Xenopus tropicalis: one gene and its partner. The protein of the gene in region 1 interacts with the protein of each later gene in a biochemical or structural test. Links are inferred from orthologs where the notes say so. Each region holds a gene or a part of one and is shown in the gene's direction. Other genes may lie near its edges.

What was found.
Region 2: of the proteins of tlk1 (region 1) and asf1a, one has a biochemical effect on the other in vitro, tested with the Homo sapiens proteins (3 studies listed by BioGRID). The link is inferred for Xenopus tropicalis from reciprocal best matches to the Homo sapiens genes TLK1 and ASF1A.

What each region holds. Positions count from the first base shown.
Region 1 is NC_030685.2:67,973,141-67,985,220, forward strand, and holds the end of tlk1 (serine/threonine-protein kinase tousled-like 1), read left to right. Parts: intron 1-1,766; coding exon 1,767-1,864; intron 1,865-2,047; coding exon 2,048-2,129; intron 2,130-2,979; coding exon 2,980-3,071; intron 3,072-3,148; coding exon 3,149-3,238; intron 3,239-3,946; coding exon 3,947-4,116; intron 4,117-4,660; coding exon 4,661-4,796; intron 4,797-7,473; coding exon 7,474-7,585; intron 7,586-7,672; coding exon 7,673-7,780; intron 7,781-8,168; coding exon 8,169-8,345; 3' UTR 8,346-10,146; downstream 10,147-12,080. UniProt on the Homo sapiens protein: Rapidly and transiently inhibited by phosphorylation following the generation of DNA double-stranded breaks during S-phase. This is cell cycle checkpoint and ATM-pathway dependent and appears to regulate processes involved in chromatin assembly.
Region 2 is NC_030681.2:73,622,586-73,634,765, forward strand, and holds asf1a (histone chaperone ASF1A), read left to right. Parts: upstream 1-5,324; 5' UTR 5,325-5,652; coding exon 5,653-5,761; intron 5,762-7,149; coding exon 7,150-7,265; intron 7,266-9,425; coding exon 9,426-9,602; intron 9,603-10,127; coding exon 10,128-10,340; 3' UTR 10,341-10,763; downstream 10,764-12,180. UniProt on the Homo sapiens protein: Histone chaperone that facilitates histone deposition and histone exchange and removal during nucleosome assembly and disassembly.

The sequences.
Region 1 (12,080 bases):
GCACCAAAACGGCCCTGCATATTCCAGATAGGGCTTGACTAGTGCTTTATAAAGAGAAAGAAACTCTCAACCCACTGATCTATATCCCTTTTAATACAGAAAAGTTGTATAAATTGTCCTTGGTAAAATTGAACTAAGCTCTAAGTGCCCATGGGTATATTCCAGCTGGGCCCAGGGATCTTGGTAAAAAACTTTACTATATTTATATTAATTAAGCTGCTGTGTAGCCTTGGGGGTAGCCATTTAAATTGAAATAGGGATAAATGGCAAAGGTTATATAGCTGATAACAGATAAGCTCTGTAAAGTACCATTGTATTCTACAGTGCTTATGAGATATCTGCTATGTAACCTGTGCCTTTTCTCCTTCTTTTCAGCTTGAATGGCTGCCCCCATGGCTACACAGCAGCATATTTATATAAACTATAGTTGGGTTTCTGAAGCAAATACAGACTTTTAACCAGTGCAGGGTAACAGTACATTATATTTTAATAATTTTTTTGGTTTTACTGTTCTTTTAAGCATTTGCTTTTTTTAGACTCCACTCTAACCAGTATATTTTAATTTTTTTCTGAATGAGCCACATGCTGAACCTGCATTTTTTTCACTGATCATTTAGTGCAATATGGGATGTCTAATGTGGAGACCCAAAGTAGTATATTCACTTATATTTTGGGGGGGGAGTAGCATTTGCAGGTAAAGCAATCCTCATTTTTTCCTTCTTGATTACTGCTTTACAGCACTTGTTTTAGTATTTATATGCTGTAAAGCATTGTCTGTTACCTCTGACTTTTTTCTAAATGCTTCATTCATGTATACTTCCTTATATCTGAGCTATATTGCATAGAGTGATCCTTAATGCTGTTATATTTCTTTCCAATGGGAATACATTGTGAGCACTAGTGGTTTCATAACATTTTAAGCAACAGGAATCATTTGCATTTAATTAGTAATGTAGGGTGCTAAAGCTCCTGAAATTTGCTAAGTCTTTGTTAAGCCAGCAAACATAAAATGTTGTTATATTATGGAAACTGTACCCAGTTATTCTAGTACTGTACTTGGACATTTGAAATTCATTCTTGTCTGTTGGGTCTAGTTGTACAGTTAACTTGCCTGTTGCCTAAGAATCTGTAAAACATTCATCCCCTAAGACTTCTGTCGTTTTCTTTCACAATTTCTTCCTTTTTACTGGGTTTCAAAACATATACACATACAAGGTATAGTCTGTGCTTACTAGCCAGTTGTGTTGAGTTATTCAGTCATGTTTCAGCAAAGCCATCGACCTCATTTCTTGCCCAGTTCCATTAACTCAAGCTCATTTTACTGGTTCAGCTTTATTCTTTGAAAACATATATTTACTTTTTATTGGAATTCATTTTATGTGAAGGGAACAACCCAAGAGCAGGAAATACAGACAAACCAAGCTTTGTCCCTGGGAGCATGCTGGAGTCATTTAGCCAGGGGGAGAATCTTTGTGGACCTAAAGTATTTTATTCCCGGTGGATTTAACCAAACTTAGTATCTAGGCTCCTCAACCTCTGGCTTTGTCCTCTCCACGCACAGAAGGCAGTATTATGTTCTACTAACGTCCTACTGCAAGCAAACATGCTCTCTGGCTTTAAAGTGCTCACATTTATTTTTTTGTCTAAAATATTTAATTTGTGTGAGTGTTGTTCAGTTCTTTGACCATTTACAGTCTTCAGTTTGTTGTGTACAGCAATCCCCCATCTTGTCCTTGCCTAAAACAACACAATGTGTTCATTTGCAGGAAGAAGCCGAAATTCAGGCAGAGTTGGAAAGGTTAGAGAGGGTTAGAAATCTTCATATACGGGAGCTTAAAAGAATAAACAATGAAGATAATTCACAGTAAGTACTCTTGGTGTAACTTACACAAATAATATGTCTATATGTGTTGGAACGGAGGGTATGGAAGAAGACATAGCTGGTTACTTGCATGGGGCTGCTGAACAAGAAAAGTGATCTTTTATTGGCAAAGTAATGGCAGAAGTTGCTGTATCTAAACCATGAATGTTTATCATTTTCCTTTAGATTTAAAGACCACCCTACACTGAACGAACGGTATTTATTACTACATCTATTAGGTCGAGGCGGCTTTAGTGAAGTGTACAAGGTAAGATTGTTTTTTTTTTTTTTTTTTGTAAAGACTACTGAATAGTCAAAGCCTTTAATCCATATAAAGAATATATGTGAATGCTTGGGGACCTTGAATTTTCTGGATAAGGGATCTGTAATTTTTATCTTATCTTAAAGGAGAAGGAAAGTAATTTTGGGATTTTACTGCCAATAGATTTGCCACATTAGTGCCACTTAGAACAACATATTTATTCTGCAGAAAGCATTGCCATACCTGAGTAAAGAGCCCTAGAAGCTTTCTTCATTTGCTTAAGACAGCAGCTGCCATTTTAAATAGCTTCCTGTTTGCAGTCTAGCCGTTATAGCTCAGATCACTCATTGCTAAGGGAGGGGGGGAGGGAGTTCTTAGAATTCTTATGGGAGGGGGGAGCAGAAGAGAGGAGAGAACTGCGCAGACTCTGGACACAGGAATTAAGGATTTTTCTGAGAGAGGAAGTCAGACACCCGTACATCATGTTTAGAAAAATAACATAGTGCTTATGGCTGTATTTACATAGACCTTAGTTTTAACTTAAAATAATTTTCTTTACCTTGTACTTGATCCCAACTAAGATATACAATTATATGTTTAAATTATTTTTAAGTTATTTGATTAAAATGGAGCATATGGTAAATGGCTTTCCAGAGTTTTTTGCACAACAGGTTTCCAGATATATATATTTATGTAGCCATATTGCATGTGGATTTGTTGTTCAGTACCTATCACAGGGGGATTGGCCAGGTTGTGCAGGGATGCTGAGACCAGGAGACAAGGGGCATAGGATGCTGTAAGAATCTCCACATACACTTGTCAAGGAAGTCACATAATGGTTTGATATCTCTTTCAGGCTTTTGATCTTTATGAACAAAGATATGCTGCTGTAAAAATCCACCAGCTTAACAAGAGCTGGAGGGACGAGAAGAAAGAAAACTACCACAAGTAAATATTTTGTGTCCTTTTGATAGTGAGCCCTTCGCTTGCCATAGTGACTGTACTGATGGTGCTGTTTATTGTAGGCATGCCTGCAGAGAGTACAGAATACACAAAGAACTGGATCACCCCCGAATAGTTAAACTTTACGATTATTTTTCCTTGGATACAGACACGTAAGTATCGCTCACTCTCTTAGTTGCTTATCAAAGTCCTGTATGTAGCCTGTCTGTATATTCTACCAACCTATGTTCAGATATGAAGATAAGTTAGGACAACTGTCATGGGAAAACATGTTTTTTTCAAAACATATCAGTTAATAAAGCTTTTCTAGCAGAATCCTGCATTGAAATCTGCAAGCATAATATAATATTTAATTTTGAAATTTCACATGGGGCTAGCCATATTCTTCATTTCCCAGGTGCCACAGCCATGTGAACAATGGGAAGGGAGCAAGATAGCAGCTCCCAGTAGGTATCAGAATAGCACTCAATAGTAAGAAATCCAAGTCCGGCTTGGGACTCCTCCAGTTACATGGGAGTAGGAGAAACAGTAGGTTACCTGAAAGCAGTTCTAATGTGTAGCGCTGGCTCCTTCTGAAAGCTCAGACTCAGGCACAATGCACTGAGATGGCGCCTACGCACCAATATTACAGCTAAAAAAAATGCATTTCTTGTTTAAGAGAATTTTTTTTTAATTATTTGCTGTGTAAACAGTGTAATTTAGAAATAAAAAGTATACCATAAACATCATGACAGAATCCCTTTAAACCCCTAGTTTCCAAACTGTAGAACTGCCCCCCTTAGAGGGGGCTCAAGGCAGTGCATAAGGGGCACAGACCTGTTAGGGTGTGACACTTGTGTTTTTTTTTTAATCTTGTGCAGGTTTTGTACAGTGCTAGAATACTGTGAAGGCAATGACCTCGACTTCTACCTAAAGCAGCACAAGTTGATGTCGGAAAAGGAAGCCAGGTCTATTGTAATGCAAATAGTCAATGCACTACGTTATCTCAATGAGATCAAGCCTCCCATTATCCACTACGACCTAAAGCCAGGTAGGTAGAACACTCAATTTTGCCTGAAACTCATAAACTGCAATTTAGTCTTTGTTTTTTTCTGTGCTTTTACACAGCCTTTAACCACACACAGATGCACTGCTATCCTAGGTTGCTACACATGTCTCTATGTGCGGTTAAAGGCTGTATTTAAGAATGGTTGAATACTGAATTAGAGATTAAAGCTGGCCATACACGCAACGATTATATTGTACGAAACCACGTTTTGTACGATATTCGGTGCGTGTATGGCGACTGCGAAGCGACCGATATCGCAAAAGGCTGCGGATATCAGTCAACTCGCCGATTGGGCGGGTTAAAAGATTTTGATCTTGCGCCATTGAAGGCACCTGAGCAAAATCTACCTTCAGGGCTAAAGAATCCTATTGTTTCTACCTCTATATCTGACGATTCAGCCCTGAATGTCTGGAGGGTGGGAACAATCTTTTGTGCAACCACAGCCACCTTTAGAGACCTTTTATAGACAACAGCCATGACTACAGCTTCAGTGGTTAGAAACTTATGTAATGTCTGCTGTAATTAGGAAATATCCTTCTTGTGGACGGGACAGCTTGTGGAGAAATAAAAATCACCGACTTCGGTTTGTCCAAGATAATGGATGACGACAGCTATGGTGTGGATGGAATGGACTTGACTTCTCAAGGAGCAGGGACATACTGGTGAGCATCACATGATTTCCTGTCATGTTTCACAGACATTTTTCCTAATCTTGTTTGACTGCTGTCAGGTTCATATTAAAAGGAAACCTATACCCACCCTTATACCACAATTTGCTCTTCTTAGCACTTCTGCATTTTTTTTTTTTTTTGTAATATATTTCATGATATCAGCAGGTCACTACTAATATCATGATTGTGTAACAGGAGCGCCCTCTGGTGTGTTCTGCGTGGGCCAAAAGAAACTTCAGCTTTTTGAAAAGAAAACATAATTTCAAGCAACTTTGCAATGTACAAATAATTAAATAATACGCAGCCTTTTCATGATTTAATAATATGGTTCGGAACAGTTACCTAAGCCTGGCCCTGTATAAATAACTTAAACTTTTGCCATCTGACAAGCTCTTGCATGAACAGCAGAGGGCAGTTTGGTTACACATTCATGATATTGGCAAAATGCTTAAATCTAGAGAGCACTCTGAGCAATTTTATATTGTTATATCTTTTCTCTTGGCCTGTAATATAAGATGATGCTACAGGGCTGATTATTAAATTCTTATGCAAATTGCACTGGTTTCTGAACTGCAATGTAGTAATTATCTGTACTGATTACTAACCAGCCTTATATTGTGACATTTATGTTCTGTATATACAGTATATTGTGAGTGGGTCCCTAAGCTCAGGAAAGTGACAGCAGCACAGAGTATGTGCAATTAATCAGCAGAAAAAAAGAGGGGGAGCTACTGGGGCATATTTAGAGGCACAGATCTTCCCTGATAAAAGGCTGTGGTTGCCTTGGGCTGGTACAGAAGCACAAAACATAATGTGCAGCCTTATTTTTTAGGTAGGCTTTAGTTCTCCTTTAAGAGATCCCTAACATAATGGCCCAGGCTTAAGGCAACAAAAAGCCCTTCATGGAAAAAGCACTTCATGGCCTAATGAACGTATTCCAGTTGATTGCTGCCATGTCATGAGACGGTTGCAGAAGGGTTGAAGTGTTGTACTAATAAAACAACTATGTATAGCTCATTAGATAAATTGGTTTATTTGGATTTAGGGTTAACTGGGATTTTTTTCCTAGTAACCATTGTGATGCAGACATAAGCATTTAGAATGAAAGCTCTACAGGTCAGAGCAGTGATCCCCAACCAGTGGCTCATGAGCAACATGTTGCTCACCAACCCCTTGGATGTTGCTTCCAGTGGCCTCAAAACAGGTGCTTATTTTTGAGGCAAGTTTTGTAAGCATAAGACCATGTATACTGCCAAAAAGAGCCTCCTTTAGGCTGCCAGTCCACATTGAGCTACCAAATAGCCAATCATAGCCCTTGTCTATGAAGATTCTCATTCATCCAGGTCATGATATACAGTATCTAGCAGAATTGAATCTAAAACAAGGCTCTAACCCAGGGGGTCCCCAACCTTTTCTACCTGTGAGCAACATTTAAATATAAAAAAACTTGGGAGCAATACAAGCATGAAAATGTTCCTGGGGAGCCAAATAAGGGCTATGATTTACAGTATCTAGTAGAATTTAGTCTAAAACAACTGGACTTTTCTGAGTTTTTCTTGAAAAAGCTTCTCCACTCACCCGAGTGGCTTCTTCAGTTCAAATGACTGGTAGGAAATTCCCCGGCATTTAAACCCTTGAGGGTAGTACAGTCACAGACATCCAGTCACAATAGTTCCATTAAACTTATTCAGTTAGGTGTTGGCTGAAACCCAGCAACACTCTGAGACAAAACATGATGCACCATAAAGACCCTACACCAAAGCACATAAAGCGTAATGTGGTCTATGCTGTCCAGTGTAGTGAAGAGTGCTCAGACTTATACATTGGGGAGACAAAACAACCACTCTGTAAGAGAATGGCCCAACATAGGACGGCTAACGCCTCAGGACAAGACTCAGCAGTCTATTTACACCTCAAACAACAAGGTCACTATTTTGAGGACAGTAACGTGCATATTTTGGACCGAGAGGACAGATGGTTTGAAAGAGGTGTGAAAGAGGCCATTTATGCCAGCCTGTAAAAACCATCCCTGAACAGAGATGGGGGGGCCTGCGACACCGCTTGTCATCAACATACAATGCCGCTTTCACATCCTTACCCCGGCGGTTTCACAACAGTTCACACTTCCAGTCATGTACTTTGAAGGATTAACACCTGCATCACTGAATCATGGTACCATTGTGACTGGATCATACCTTCTTATACCTGTCCGTTTCAGCCAACACCTAACTGAACAAGTTTAATGGAACCACTGTGATTGGATGTCTGTGACTGTACTACCCTCAAGGGTTTAAATGCCAGGGAATTCCCTACCAGTCATTTGAACTGAAGAAGCCACTCAGATGAGCAGGGAAACGTTTTCAAGAAAAACTCAGAAAAGTCCAGTTGTTTTAGACTAAATTCTACTAGATACTGTAAATCATAGCCCTTAATTGGCTCCCCAGGAACATTTTCATGTTTGTATTGCTCCCAAGTTTTTTTTATATTTAAATGTTGCTCACAGGTAGAAAAGGTTGGGGGCCCCTGGGTTAGAGCCTGTCCAGTAATCTATTCTCTATTGACACTTTTTCCCTTACCCAAATGTCACATTTTGGCAAGAGAAATTGCTTAAAGAAAGCCACATGCATAGTCAAAGCAGATTATTGATGTTGCGCTGTGCACTTTGCAGGTATTTACCACCAGAGTGTTTTGTCGTGGGCAAGGAGCCCCCGAAAATCTCCAACAAAGTTGACGTGTGGTCTGTAGGAGTCATTTTTTTCCAGTGTCTCTATGGCAGAAAGGTAAGCTAATAAATATTTTGTTTAGAATGACACTAATATTGACACTTTATTCTCCATGGCTAATAATGAACCCCTTTTGCTTTTCAGCCATTTGGCCACAATCAGTCTCAACAGGATATCTTACAGGAAAATACAATATTAAAAGCCACAGAAGTACAGTTTCCAGTGAAGCCTGTTGTAAGCAATGAAGCCAAGGTAATATATAACAAATTATATATGAATATATGAATGCACAGGCGATTTCAGCAAATCGCCGAAGTTGCCTCGCGAGGAATTTTCGGCAATTTGCCGAAATCGCCCCACCGCGTGTGCCATCCCACCAGCGACTTACATTTTCGCCGGAGGGATGGCAATTCGGGAAGATTAGTCGCCCGCGAACAGAGAGATTTGTCGCGGGCGACTAATCTCCCCATCTGCCAGAGCCCTTAAAGGAACAGTAACACCACAAATGATATGGTTTTGTATGCATTTATATAGGATACACTGATAAAAATGTTAATGTCACTTTATCTTCTAGATGACTGAAGTTGAGTTGATTGAATTTATGGTAATTGCTATTCGTTAATCTGTTTCCTTCTTTCAGGCCTTTATTAGACGATGCTTAGCCTACCGCAAGGAGGACAGGTTTGATGTCCACCAACTGGCCAATGACGCGTATCTTCTCCCGCATATGAGAAGATCCAACTCTTCAGGAAACCTCCATATGTCTGGGCTAGTGGCCTCTCCAACCACTCCCACATCAAGCATCATTTCATACTGATACTCGCACCAAGGCTGCTGGCATGATTATTCGTTACATAGCTTTCCGGCGCAGCATTTTTATTTTATTTAATTTTTTTTGTTCAACAACAAAGGAGAACCAAGAAGGAGTTTAAAGATAATTGTGTGTTTTTGGGGAGATTTTTTTTTTTCTTTTTCTCTGTAGTGTTATTAGTATGGCAAGAGCGAATGAGACTGTGAATAAATTTCCCATTTGACAGTAATGTGATTTGGCACTGGCCTCCATTCATTGCCCTACAAAGCCATTTTCAGAGTAATGAGGGACAATGCTTAGGGCGTGTTCCTACGCAAGTTTGGGGCCACTGTCAAGAGATCCAAGTTTGTCCCACCAACCACGTGCATTCAATATGGACAAAATGAAATATAATGAGAAAAAAAAAAAAAAGCTTTTTTTTCCAGAGAGGACATTGTAAATAAACTTTGTAATACTGCAACACGATTGGTTGATACTGGAGAGTTTTAGCATGAAGGGCATTTTTCATTATTTAAAAAAAAAAAAAAAAAAAAAAGGAAAAAAAAAACAACACTTCTGATCATGGGCACCTGGCACCCGAGTGATTACAAACAACGCACTTGCCCGCAAACTCCAACACCCATTTATTTAAACCAAAGCTGAATATAAGAGGAATTCACACGTTATGTTTGGAGTTTATATTCCATAAGAATCGTTCACGTGTCACTGTGACTTTTTTTTAATTTGAAATCGGCGACCCCTCTCCCCCTTTTCCCACAAGTTCCTTTTATGGATCATTCCACTCAATACCTGTGATTCATTCGTTTTTCTTTTCTCTTTGTTCCATCGCCATAAAACACACAAGAGGTACCAAAACCTTCAATAAAACGTTCTATGCAGGATAATGATAAATTCCCTTCTGGCACTCATGTATATTGTTGTACAGATGTCCATTTCAGTTATCCGTGTCCTTTCAGCAGCCGTTTGCCCTTGTACAAATGTTTAAAGTATGGCTTTTTTTCTAATTTGAATATTGATTTTTTTTTTTTTTTTTTTTTAAGTCTCCTCGACTGCGCTTTTATTTTGCTGCTAATTAATGTTGCTTTGAGTTTGTTTTTTTTTTTTTGTTTTTTTTTTTGCAAACCAATAGAATTGCCCCTATTTTAAAGTGGCAATTGAAAAAAAAAAAACAACCAGATTAATTCATTAACAATCAAGCATGTGTACACATCTGTAAAACATATACACAGTACTGTAAGCCTGGTTTGCTAAATGCTCTGTTACTCGGGGCAGGTTACTGAGGTTTTTGTTCTCCCTCGTCTTGAGAGATCCTCTATGTCGGAGGCTGTAAGTATGCAATACATTAAGCAAAACCGATTCCTCTTGGCTTAACACGGTGTTAAAAGACAGACAGGTTCCTTTCTAATGGCCTAAACGCCTTTCTAGAACGCTGTATTTCTTTATTGCACAAATAAAAGGAGACAACCCCCCCTCGATGCCAGAGTAGGCAACGGTAGTGCATTGGTCTTGCAATATATTGCTCTTTTCTGTAGCATTCAAGGGGATGAGTCCTTAAACTCATGCTGTTAAAGAGAAATAAAAAGATTTGTCATTTTGTTCATGTTACAGAAGAGGAAGCTTGTATTAACACAGGTTTTACCATTTAATATTGTACAGTTCATTGTGGCTCTTGTTTCTGATGTTGCAAGCAGTTTTCATTTTTTTTCATTGTACATAAATATACATTAACTGTCTCTTTAAGATGCTGCTGAAAATTGTAGAGAATGTAGCCAAAACAGTAATAAACAATGAAAGTTGAAATTTCAAATAAGTACTTCATTTCCACCTAGCTTTTGGATAGTAGTCTGCGGGTACTTACTCTAAAGCAGTGATCCCCAACAGGTGGCGCGGGGGCAACATGTTGCTCACCAACCCCTTGGATGTTGCTCTCAGTGCCCCCAAACCAGGGAGTTATTTTTGAATTCCTGACTTGGGGGCAAGTTTTGGTTGAATAAAAACAAGATTTCATACCAAATAAAGCCTCCTGTAACCTGATAGTGTGCATAGGGGCTGCCTAATAGCCAATCACAGCCCTTATTTGGCTCCTCCATGAACTTTTATGATGCTTGTGTTGCTCTCCAAGTCTTTTACTTTTGACTGTGGCTCACATAGTTACATAGGGTTGAAAAAAGACCAGAGTCCATCAAGTTCAACCCTTCCAAGTAAACCCAGCACACACAACCCACACCTACCAATCTATACACTCACATACATAAACTATATATACAACCACTAATGCTAACTGTAGATATTAGTTTCACAATAGCCTTGGATATTCTGATTGTTCAAGAACTCATCCAGGCCCCTCTTATAGGCATTAACAGAATCTGCCATTACCACATCACTAGGAAGGGCATTCCCCAACCTCACTGCCCTCACCGTGAAAAACCACCTACGCTGCTTCAAATGGAAGCTCTGTTCATCTAATCTAAAGGGGTGACCTCTGGTGCGTTGATTGCTTTTATGGGAAAAAAAGAACATCCCCCAACTGCCTATAATCCCCTCTAATGTACTTGTACAGAGTAATCATGTCCCCTCTCAAGCGCCTCTTTCCAGAGAAAACAACCCCAACCTCGACAGTCTCACCTCATAGTTTAAATCTTCCACCCCTTAACCAGTTTAGTTGCAGTCTCTGCACTCTCTCCAGCTCATTAATATCCTTCTTAAGGACTGGAGCCCAAAACTGCACTGCATACTCAAGGTGAGGCCTTACCAGGGACCTATAAAGAGGCAAAATGATGTTCTCATCCCTTGAGTCAATGCCCTTTTTTTTATACAAGACAGCACTTTATTTGCTCTAGTAGCCACAGAATGCCACTGCCTGGAATTAGACAACTTGTTATCTACAAAAACCCCTAGATCCTTCTCCATTAAGGAAACCCCCAACAAACTACCATTCAGTCGATAGTTCGCGTTTATATTATTTCTACCAAAATGCATAACTTTGCACTTACCACGATTAAGAAAGGTTTGGGGACCTCTGTTCTAAAGACTCACAGTCCAGCACTTTGGACAGATATATGCCATATGTTGTAAAGCAGGGCCGGACTGAACCACCAGGGAACTGGGAGAAATGCTGGTGGGCCCCGGCCTGCTGATATCATCAGAACACATGGAAGAAGCCGCTGTTAGTAGCAGTGGGGGCCCTTAAGTTCAGAACCTTCAGAGGGCCCAAAGATCCCCAGACCATGACTGTTTATTTTTTTTTTTTATCAACTTATAATATAATAATAATAGTGTGTCATCAGTGCGTCGTTCTCTGGAATTAAGTGTTCAGATTTGCCGGGCATATATAGTTACGGGCTATCCTGTGTATGTCTTTGTATCTATGGGTTCCATATTTGGCATGACAAAGGATAAGGAAAGGATAAGGATATAAGTGCAAATTGCGCTATTACAGTTACTAGAAACCAATCAAGACTTTGCTTTGGATTTTCCAAATTATAGTAGACTGTTCTTAACTAATTGCCGATTTTTTTTTCTAAAACTGCAGATACTGAAAAAGTACAATGCATTCTGTGGCAGCTCAAGCTATGTTTGTAGTAGGGATGCGTCGTCCATCGTTATTGGATTAGGCCAAATGCTGAACCCCCAATGCTCAGTTCCTATTTGTTAGGAACCCCAGTAATTATAACTACACACCTGAGATCCTGGGCCGGTGTTTCTGTTCTGCTGTTGGTAATGAAAACTGCACCAACATGG
Region 2 (12,180 bases), on another chromosome or scaffold:
TACAATTTGACAGTGTGGCTCCATTAAATAATGTGGCTATAACTGATACAAAAAAGGCAAAATGTGCTTAATCAGTTTTTTTCTTCAGTGTATACATTAGAGGAAAGTTTTTCCAGACCCAACTGTTGGGGACACTGATGTCTCAGCTCAGTCTAATCAGTGGTTGACACAGGACATAGTACATAAAGGTTTATCCAAAATTAATATAAAACCCTGGGTACTTAGAGAGCTAAGTTAAGTCTTAGCCCGGCCTTTATTTCTGATTTTCTCCAACTCGCTTTCATCTGGTATGGTACTTGAATGGAGAAAAGCGGACATAATTCCTATTTTAAAAAACGGATTACAATCTTAGCCTCACAATTATAGGCCAGTAAGTTTAACTTCTGTGGTGAGCACGTTTGTTAAAGGAGACATATTGGATAAATGGAAAAAACCCTAATTTTGTAGGCAATTATGAATAATATATGGTGCTGGTTTCACTTTGGGCTAAACATTAATCCTATCTGTAAAAATGGCCCCTTTATTGGAGCTCCCTATAGATCCTATCAGTTCTCTGTCCGTGTTTCAAATGAAGGGTGGGCGTATCCCAACGGTCCCTGCCAAACACAGCAGGAGGGGTAGAGCCAATCACAGCCCTGCACTCACACAAGCACAGACAGGCTTCAGTTATCAGGTCAACCTAGCTGCTGATTGGTTCCTATCCTACAGTGCATCCCGCCGGCTCCCCTGAACAGATGGGCAGGACTAGTGGGGTTTTGGTGGAATTTCTCAATAAATAAGTCTGAAACTTTTTTAAGCACAATCCTTCTATATCTAGACGAGTATAATTTTTATATCATATGTCTCCTTTAAAGAGGCTTTTAAGAAATTTGACTTTATTGCCATTAAACTGACTGGATTTAATTTTTTTGTCCATTATGGTAATATTTGTATAGTATGGTGAAGGTTTCTGTTTTCTTTATATTTACTGATATGCCCATAAAGCTCCATGTAAACTTGATTACATGTAAGTAAACCATGGTTGAGCATCAACTCATTTAATTTTATTTCAAACCCTTCAGCATTCCCCCATAAACTGTTGCACTTTTAAATTAAAATGTATTGCGTTGGTTGCACCGATGTCTCTGTGATCATTTCTAAGCAGGCGGAGGTTGAGGTGGTCACTAATTGCATCGGAAGTTACTTGGGGGCCTCTGGCTCCTCTGTCAATCATGAAAAGTCGGAAGCTTTTTGTGTTCTAGAATGGGAACCAGCTTTTCAGGTTGGTAATTTCCCAGTAGCCCCAGAGCAGGTAAAAATCTTGGAAGTTAAATTTGGAAGAAATGATAATGGTCTCTTAAATTTGGAGGAGAAACTGGATGCTGGTTTGGCAAAAGTTCAGCGTTGGAAATCTTGGAAGCTGACAAATAGAGAAATGGTTAATCTGATCAAGACCTTTCTGATCCTGTTGTTTCTTTTTGTTGCCTATGTGTTTTCCTTGCCAGAATCTCTCTATACTTGGATCTACAGTCTGTTCTTTCAGATGCTCTGGGGGAGCAGACTGAACCCAGTAAAAAGAGGGGTCACGTTCCTGCAGAGGGAGGGTTGGGATGGTCTGTCCAATTGCATTCTTTGGCACCATTTTCATGAAATTTAATTTTGGGAATCTGAGCCAAAGGAAGTGTTTTCTGTGGGAGAACTGTGTCAGGTCCTGAGTTTCACTTCTTATCAGACTGGACGAAGGCCGGTAGAGTGAAGGGGGTCCGGATTGAGGGGGGGGTTATTTTCTGCAGCATATAGCTTTGGGTCTGAAGCTCATAAAGAAATGGCACCTTAGTTTGGGAGATTTAGAGAACCTCACAAGGAGGCAGCTGTATGAGATGGTGCTAAGGATTTTTTCACTTCACCTTTAGCTCTGCGGGACTGTACTAGTGAGGAAATAACCTGCTGTCTGAAGTTTCTGAATGGCCATAGGCCCCCTGGGAAATATGCAGATAATGCTTGGTTAGCCTTCCAAGGGAAACTCTTTGTCCGGGGGAACCTTAGTTACCTAAGTGTGGTAAATAGGTTCTGCCCATGGGATTGTGGGAAGGAAGAGACCACTGACCACTTTCTTTTAGACTGCCCAGTATCAGAAGCCCTTTATAGTCAGGTTTTGACTGTCCTGGGAATAGAAAGATTCTGCAGTGACACCTATGGGGAAAGGGCTTATGGGCTGCTCAGGAGGAATCACCCGCTGGAAAGAGAAACGGTTTTTACTATTTTTACGGTAATAAGGTTTTTTCTGTGGTTGATGCGATGTGATAAATCATTTGGAAGGGAGGAGGGAACCTTTGAACAAACTGTTGGGAAAATCTTCAGAGAATTATTTTTCAGAAAAGTTAAAGAAGTTTCTTTAAATAAAGACAATGTATAATTCACTGGTACATTCATAATTTTTATAGGATATTTATTTCTACTTTAAGGGGCCACATTCAAAATTATGTTCTAGAGCAGGAATCCCCAGCCTTCTTTACTCGTGAGCCACAATCAGATTAAAAAGTGTTGGCGAGCCACATAAGCATGGAAAAAGTTCTTTGGCAATGCCAAATGAGGACTGTGATTGCCTATTTGGGCAGGAGGCTCTGCTTGGAGTAAACTGTGTCTCTCTGCTTCCAAAACTTATCTCCAAGCCAGAAATTTAAAAATGGGCACCTACTGTACATTGAGGCAACTGGGAGCAACATCAAAGGGGGTCGTAAGCAACATGTTGCTCCTGAGCCCCTGGTAGGGGATCACTATTCTAGAGAATGCCATTATAAGCTGTAATGAAATCAGCATGGCTTTATGAAAGATAGGTCATTGTAGTACTGCATTTTGGATATTCAGTAATGAACCCACATGTACACAAAGGGTTAACAGATATCTTTCCTTTCCTTCACATGACATCTGCTGAGGTGTAATTCTGGACAATAGAGATCCTGCCATAAAACTACACAACAACCCTTACAGCAATAGTACAGTTCATATCAAAGAGATGCAAATGACTTTACACACTGGTGTGGTGGGTGCAGGGCCAGAGTTCCTAAGGAAAGGAGACCCCACTGAATCAACAGGAATGCCTGCAGCATTGGGCTCAATGGGATTTGCTCTACAGTGCAACCTATCTTAAGCTACCTCTCTTAGCTGACTGAGATGAATCATTGTAAAAACAACTCACATCAACCTGATTGGCTGGGACTATCATTTGGGTGTGTCTTGGGAAAAGGGTAGTATGGGTTATGCTTGGTTGAATGGTCTTCATCATGTATATAAACAGCATTTGTAAATACTTTGTTAGTTAGTCACTTTCCTCTCCCCTCCATTGCACCTTTCCTCTCCCTTCTTCCTTCCTCCATTTTAGTTATTTTCCCTCCTTATTTTATACCTTTTATTTCTTTTGTAAATAAATATATCACTTATTTAATAAACCGGGCTGTCTCAGTTCAATAGTTAAATACCCCAGAATAGAGCAGGTCCAACAGTCATGTTAGATAAATTTGATTTGTTCATTAATGACTTAAGGGAGGGCATGATAAAGAATGTATCAGTGTTTGCAAATGGCACAAGCCAATTCAGCCCAATTAATTTCATCCAGGATGTGGCATCCTGTAATGTAAGATATATGTAAGGTTGTACACCTGGGATGTAAAAATAGGCAAGCTACTTATACCATTAAGGGCTCTGGCACACAAGGGAGTTTAGTCGCCCACGACAAATCCCTCCCCGATATGACATAGAGAAGGACCTTGGAGTCTTTGTAGATAATAAATTTAGCTGTGGCAAGCAATGCCAGGCAGCAGCTGCAAGGAAAACAAGGTGTTAAATTGTATTAAATGGGCATAGATTTGCTAGAGGCAGGGCTCATTCTCCCACTTTACAAAGCGCTGGTAAGGCCCCATCTAGAATATGCCATGCAGTTTTGGTCTTCAGTGAATTATTTAACAGTAGGTCCTTCCAGCAGACACAAAAGCATCCATTTCAATTAAAAGAAGGGACATTATATCTAAATATTCAGAAAGGGTTTTTTCAGCGAGAGATGTGAAGTTGTGAAATTCTCCCTATGAATCAGTCCTTCTGGCAGATACATTAGATAGACATGGTCATTGAAAATAGTTTTAGATGATCCAGGAGGCAAATTAGAGAGGCTTTAGAAGGGTTTTTTTTTTTTTTTGCTTTCCTCTGGATCAACTAGCAATTAGGCAGGTTATATATAGACACAAAAGGTTGAACTTGAAAGAGAAAGAAAAGCAATTTTTAGCATTTTACTGCCAATAGATTTGCCACATTAGTACCACCTAGAACGCTATATTTATTCAGCAGAAAGCTTTACCATACCTGAGTAAAGAGCCCTAGAAGCTCCCTCCGATAGCAGCTGCCATTTTAGCTTGGTCTTGGTAGCTTCCTGCTGCAGTTATAGCCATTGGTAGCGCGAATCACACATTCCTAAGGGTGGGAGTTCTTATGGGAGGGGGAAGCAGAAGGGAGGGGGAGAGGGAGAGTAAAAGAACTGAGCAGACTCATGCCCCAAACCTGAAGGAGCCCTAAAAGAGAGGAAGTCTGATACTGAAGAACATTTTCACAAAAAACAAGCAATCACAAGAAATCCTGTGTTTCTTTTGAAGGACTCAGTGCAGTGTTTCTGTGAGTGCTTATGGCTTACTTAGTTTTTACTTTCCCTTCTCCTTTAATGGATGTGTCTTTTTTCAACCTAATTTACTATGGTTGAACCCTAATTTTATGTTTTCCCAGAATTGGCAGGTTTTTTTGTCCTCCCATACAGGCAAGGTACATTTTATTTTTTATGTTTTCCCAGAAATAGGGGTTCTACCATATAGTCCTATAAGTAACTGCTACATTACTGTCAATTTTTTTTAAATATAAATAAAAGTAAATAAAGAGCAAAAAAAAAACCCCAAAAAAACAAAAATTCTGATTAACAGCTTTTCCCCAGAGGACATTTTGCCAGGGGGGATTCAGAGCCCCAGGTGCAACAGCCTTTAATTGGTTGCATGCATATCCTTATGAGATAAACTCAGCTGATCCCTGAATATCTTAATTTGTACACCAGGGAGATAGAGAAAAACATTTTTTAAAGAAGCGAAGTTTTTGTTGAAAGCCTCAAAGTGCCAAAAGAGGCAAAGCTCACTACTTTTGAACTGTTCAGACGCTAGGAAACACAGATGCAGCAAGACTATTGAGCCTGTCAGTGCGGAGAGATCCTCCCTGAGGTGTGCTCGAGCTGTCAGCCAGCAGGTGGAGCAGCTGCTAAACATTTCCAGCTCCCATGGTCATGAGAAGTCTGTCTTTTTCTGTCGTGTAGCTTTTAGCATTATGGGAAGGGCCAGGGAGCAGCCAATCCGGACACACGCTGTTATAGCAACAGAACAGAATGTGGTGTAGTGAAGTAAGATAGGAGAGCAGGGGAGGGGGGAGAAATAATAAATAAAATAGAGTGGAGTTGCTCACATTGAAAGTAATCAATGGATGAAATAAAAAGAAAACAAACAAACAAATAAGCTGATTTGGAAGAAAGTTTCTCAGGACTGGTGTAAAGAACTGCAAGAAGCAGTGACAGGGGCTCTGCACAGATAAGCACTGCTGGGTCTTGCCTGCACTCTCACACCATCCCCATTGTTTGAGCATTTCCAAAATATGGCAAAGGTTCAGGTGAACAATGTGGTGGTGCTGGATAACCCTTCTCCTTTCTACAATCCTTTCCAGTTCGAAATCACCTTTGAGTGCATAGAGGACCTTTCTGAAGGTGAGTTACAATCAGTTCTTTCTTTTGGCAGTCTGCTAAAGAAGCATCCTAGTGCACAAGAGGTTAAACTGATTCCCACAGGCCTGATGCTTGGCTAAGAAGCAGAGCAGGCGCTGACAGGAATAAAATGCCGGCACATTAACGTAGACAAGCAGGGAAAAAACTTGCGGTTGCACTAGCTGGGAGTGTATGGGAATGCTGCTGCACACACTGGGAAAGTAAGTTTGAAAGGTGCCCTGGTGGCAGGAGCAGCAGCCATGTTTTGTTTGTGGATAGAGAGGGAGGGGGTCGGGTTAATGAGTGTGAAACAGACACAGACAATGCAGGACACGCAATGTGACCTCTGCACTGGGGCTCTTGCAGTGCAAAGACAGCAGATTTTAAATAGCGGTTACTTGTATAATGCTGACCTGCTGCCTGGAGTGAAAAGCAAAAGCTTGTTTTCTATTTTTTTTTTCCTGCAGTTTTTATTATATAAATACATGGGAAAATACAAAAATAAGGATGTTTATTGCATTGTTATGGGGAGAAAAGATGTTTATTCTTCCTTGCATTCATCTTTTTTTATGTCACAGGTGGAATTATAGCCCCTCCCTCATCTCACTGTGTAATGGGCACAAACTCAATAGTAACACAGGGGCATTTAGATGTACATATTCATGGAACTGGGCGCTTGTGTGCGTTAATAATCACTGTCCCAACATAGTAAATAAAAACACACACTGACAATCTGCCTATGAATCTCTTTAAAAATGGTTAACTTGATGGGCAGTTGTCCTTTTTTAACCCAAATTAATGGTAAAATTATGAATATAATAATTTTTCGAATAACAACAAGAAAATGTGTCACCTTAGAAAGATGTCCAGTTCTCCATGATCAAATCTGTCATCCATTTTTCCACTTTCAGAAGAACAATATATTGATACAGCTAGCTGCTGCAATTTTTAAAAATCTGACTAAATTCATTTTCATTAATGTCTGACATTTACTAAAAATGTGAACTGAAAAAGTCAAAAGTTGCCTCACAAGAAAAATTCAGACTCAGAAGACAGAAACAATACATATGCCATCCCACGGTGATAAAAAAAAAAAAAAAAAAACCCCACTATGTTTAGGATGTCATCTAATGAACTTTTTTTTTAGGCTGATGCCACACAGGGCCTGTCGTAAAACAGAGTCCCTATGCTGGCATCAGCCTTCTTCCTTGCCTCTCATTTCAGCAACCCATATCTGCTACAAGTGCCTGCACCTGAACTGACGCAATAGTTTTCCTCAGGCTGAGAATCAGCCCTGTGTGGCATCAGGCTAAGAGACTACTTTTATATTTATAGATAGCTGAAGAGCTAATTTCCCATTCCTTTTCAATTAACATTATACTTTCCACCAGATTTAGAATGGAAAATTATTTACGTGGGCTCTGCTGAAAGTGAAGAATATGACCAGGTTTTAGACTCTGTATTGGTGGGACCTGTACCTGCAGGCCGACATATGTTTGTATTTCAGGTAAGTTGATATTGATTTTATATAAAATATTCTTCTTAGTGAAGAACCATTAAGGGTGGTGGCACACAGGGTGATTAGTCCCCCATGGTTACATTTCAGCTATCGCAGGCAACTAATCTCCCTGAAAAGCCTTTCCTCTGGCAATAAAGTGAATCGCCGGTGGAATGGCATATACTTTACATTCATTTTTACAAAGTTTCCTCCTCCAGAAAACAATTCATACAAATTCTTACAAACTCTGCAATAGTTTGAAAAACAACTGCCAGGTGATGTAATGTTTATTTTGGCCATAAACACACTAATGATATTGTACGAAACCTCGTTTTGAACGATATTCGGTGCGTGTATGGCGGATCGACGAGACAACCGATATAGCAAAGGCTGTGGATATTGGCTGTCTCATCGATCACCCAGGTTAAAAGATTTTGATCGGGTGCCACTGAAGGCGCCCAAACAAAATCTGCGTTCAGGGCTGAATCGGCAGGTGGAGGTAGAATTCCTATTGTTTCTACCTCCACATTCAGCCCTGAACGTTGTGGGGGAAACAAACGATCCTGTGACCATCAGAATTGCTACGTGTATGGCCACAAACAGGGGGACTCACAGAGAGGGGTTCACTCTCAGAGCAGAGAAAGCTGTAACCAAGTGCCAGGAGTCACTGAGAAAGGTCTTTCAGAGTAGGACACAGAGCAAGAATGCTGCCTGCCTGTGTTAGGAACTCCCAGGGGGCTGGGGGTGCTGCCTGCCACTGCAAGGAGCCATGTGTATGAGTGCCAGAACGACAAGGCTTAGTGAGAAGCCAAAGTGTGAGATGGCCGGGATGGTGAGAAGCCCCAGGAAAAGGTTCCAGAGTATGAGAGTTACCCTGGAAGGTGAGAATTCCAAATAGGGTACTAATCATGAACATATATGATGAACAGTTTGCTGATGTTTATGTTGGGTAGAGTTTGCCCCAAAATAAACTTGTGTTTTTTGCCTGAAGAACTGATGTCTCTGTCTCTATGCTCCTGCCTACCATGACTAATTTCCCCCAAGAATTACGTGTACAGACAGACAGTGTGTCAATATATAACATGTCAAGGACTGCTCCCCACTGAAGTTTGACAGCCACATAGCTAGTACACTTTAAGGGCTTTGGCACACAGGGAGATTAGTCGCCCGCGACAAGGGAGATTTGTTGCGGGCGACTAATCTCCCGATGTACCAAAGCCCTTAAAAGTGTACTTGCTATGTGGCTGTCAAACTTCAAACTTTTTCCTGTCAAATCTCCAGGAAATGCCATCCCACCGGTGAGAATGTAAATTGCCGGTGGGATGGCATATGCAGTGCTGCGATTTCCATTCTCGCCGGTGGGATGGCATTTCGGGGAGATTTGTCGTGGGCGACTAATCTCCCCATGTGCCACAGCCCTTAGTCCCAAGTGTCTAGAAAGAAATGGCATCTTGCAGATTAGTAATGGATAGATATGCACTCTGTAATAAAATTGCAGTGAAATATCTGCTACTTGTGGTACAGGAATTAGTCTGCACAGTGGATGTACTATGTAGTGGCAGCTGTACTACACATTCTGACCAACTAGGCAGAGATGTACAGATTCTTCAGTAACTGGGAAAAAACTAAATATCAAGCCCCACTAATTAATCATATCTGCTTCCTAGAGAATCAATTTTTCTGAAGCTTAAAGGAGAAGGAAAGGCTAAGTCACTTGGGGGATGCCAAAATGTTAGGCACCCCCAAGTGACTTTAATCGCTTACCTTGTACCCCGGGGCTGGTGCCCCTGTTAGAAGAAAACCGCACCAGCCCTGGGTAGCTGTAGCGGAGCGCTTCCTTCTTCCGTGTTTGCTCTGCCGGCAAAATACCTGAGTGAAAAGGTGACTTCTTGTTAAAGTTCAGCTTTTCACCCTACTGCGCATGCACGAGCGCGAACAAGGAAGAGGAAGCGCTTGCTGCAGGCACCCGGGTTGGTGCTGTTCTCTCCAAACAGGGGCACCAGCTCGGGGTACAAGGTAAGCGATTAAAGTCACTTGGGGGTGCCTAACATTTTGGCACCCTCAAGTGACTTTGCCTTTCCTTCTCCTTTAAGGAAGAATCAGTGTGGAGCCGAACAGTAGATTCTGACAGAGAACATTTGTAACTGCTTTGTCTCCATCTTTGTTTAGGCTGATGCCCCCAACTCAGGCCTTATACCAGACGCAGATGCCATTGGTGTAACAGTGGTGCTTATCACATGCACATACAGAGATCAAGAGTTTATCAGAGTGGGCTATTATGTTAATAATGAATATACAGAAACAGAACTGCGTGAAAACCCTCCTGTGAAACCAGACTTTTCCAAGGTAAAGAATTTACAAACTCTGCAATAAATAGTTTGAAAAACAACTGCCAGGTGATGTAATGTTTATTTTGCATTGTTGGGACTTCACATTGCGGATCATGATCAAATGGCACAGATGCAGAAGTGTCACCTAACTGCAGTAATATGGTGCACAACACAAACCCACTACAGTGGCTTCTAATGCCTTCCCATCAGAAATAAAGTGAATCACCGGTGGAAAGGCTTCCGCACCTCTAACATTTCCAAAGTCGCATGTTGTTTCCTACTGCAAACAGAGTCGAGGTCGGCCTGAAAAAGCAAAAGCAGGCATCTTCAAGCCAACCTCTACTGCGTGTGCCTGCATGGTACATACAATTTTACTTTTATGTCCAGGTCAATGGAGCTGGTTAAGGGAGCCGTTCCGCTTCTCTCAGCCTGAAAAAAAAAAAATGCAGGCTGAGGGCAGTGGAACCAACAGTCCATGTACCCTCAACCTAAAAGGCTTTCAATTATCATTTAAATCATTTACATTTTCTCTCTGCTGCAGCTTCAGAGGAACATCTTGGCATCAAATCCTAGAGTAACCAGGTTCCACATAAACTGGGAAGAAAATACAGAGAAGCTTGATGAACTTGAAGATAGTAATCCTCATCTGCATCCAATACTGTCAATAGAAGCCAGACCTTCAGCTTCAAAAGGATGGCCTATGTCAGAGAACTCTTTAAATGTCATGCTAGAATCGCACATGGACTGCATGTGACTTTACTTTTACATCTTTCTACTTTCAAGCCAATGGGAAAATTGCACTTTGCAACACTATTTTCCAATAAATAGGACACCAGGAAACATGTCCTTGGCAGAAACCTTTATCAAAGGGTGGAAACAAAATGTGAACTAGGGGGAAAAGTTTTTAAAAAATCTATTTTTAATTATTTTTGTTTCTGCTTAAGGCAGGTATCTATCAGCTATTTTCCAAACTAGTTAGAACATGCAACTGCAGCACATTTTGCTATTTATTTGGAGATGTATTGTTTTCTGATATTTTGCTGAAATAAATCTATGCTTGATACCACAGACCTGACATATGCACACTGTGGGCCATCCACAGTACATCCTATTTGATTACATAAAATCTATTTCAGATGGATTCTATTCTTACAACAAATAATGCCTTTATAGTTTACTTTCTTGTTAAAAGGTAATTATTTACCAGTTTTGGTTTTATAAACAATACATGTTTTGCATGGTTTTTCTTTTCAAGCGAAAACCAGAGGGTGTTATATCTTTAAAATTTTACAATTGCTAATGCCAAGCAAGCAGTTGGCTATTTAGCCATTCGATATAAAATAGTTTCTTCTACAGTCGGGAAAAAAATATGCAGTCCCTTTGTAAACAACTCTAATCCAGTATTAAAGGACAATGAAAGGTTAATATAAATTAAAAGTAAATCTAAACGCATTCTTTTTAAGTACTTACTGCATATCTAAATTCCCAGATCCCTGCTTGCCTCTCTGAGATATGGTGCTGGCAGCCTACAGCAGTTAGAAGACTACAGTGACATCACTGAAATCTCTTTCCCCTTCCTGTAGGTGCCAGCGGCAGCCTTCCTATTCTCTGAGCATGTGTGTAACTTGATCCTGTCTCCTGGTCTGAGATACACATGCCCACCAGCCAATCAGAAGCGGATCTGGCAGAGGGGAGGGGGGGGAGGGAATGAAACATGTGCAGTATGAAGCAAGGAGGGAAAGGAAGGGAGAATACCTTTTAGAGATGGCTGCCTCTTCTAGAAAATGTGAAGTAAGTGTGACTGAGTAAATATTTGATTAGGTGCGTCAAAAGTGTGGCGTTTTTACTAAACAATAGGAGGACTATTGGGCAGTATGCTTTTTAAGTTTTGACTTTCATTCTCCTTTAAGTACAACTGATATTAACCTTATTTAATAGCCCTACTTACAGTGTCTTGCACAAAATTGTCAACGTCGAAGTGCAAAAAAATTTTTTGTAAAAAGTTGACGTAGTTTTCAAAACGTACAAATAAAAAATTAAAAAAAGTCTTGAAGTATTCATCCCCTCTACAAATAAGTTTTGGTGCAACCAACATGCCTTCAGAAGTCGCATAATTAGTTGAATGGAGTCCACCTATAAATTATCACATAAGCTTCTGATAAATTCTGTACACCCCTTTATAGAAGGCTCCAGAGGTTCTAATCATATCTGAATTTACAGCATGATGAAGACCAAGGAGCTCTTCAAAACAAGTCCAGTGTAAAGTTCTGAAGAAGCACCAATCAGCTAGAAATCTTGAACAAAGGAAAAATGTCTGAACCAAGACTGACTAGAGAAGAATGTCCACCAAATCTCAGCAACCAGGGCATAGGGAAGCGAGAGACCAATGGTAACTGAAGGAAGTATAAAGTCCCACAGCTGAGAGGAGAACAAGTCAATGTAATTATGACCCAGATGCTCCACAATGCTAGGTTTTATGATAGAATAGTTGGAAGAGAGCTATGGCTGAAAAAAAAAAAAAAAAAAAAGCCCATTTGGAAGCAAAAAAAATAGTTCCCTTGTCTGGCTATGTGTGGTAAACCTATAGTACTGAG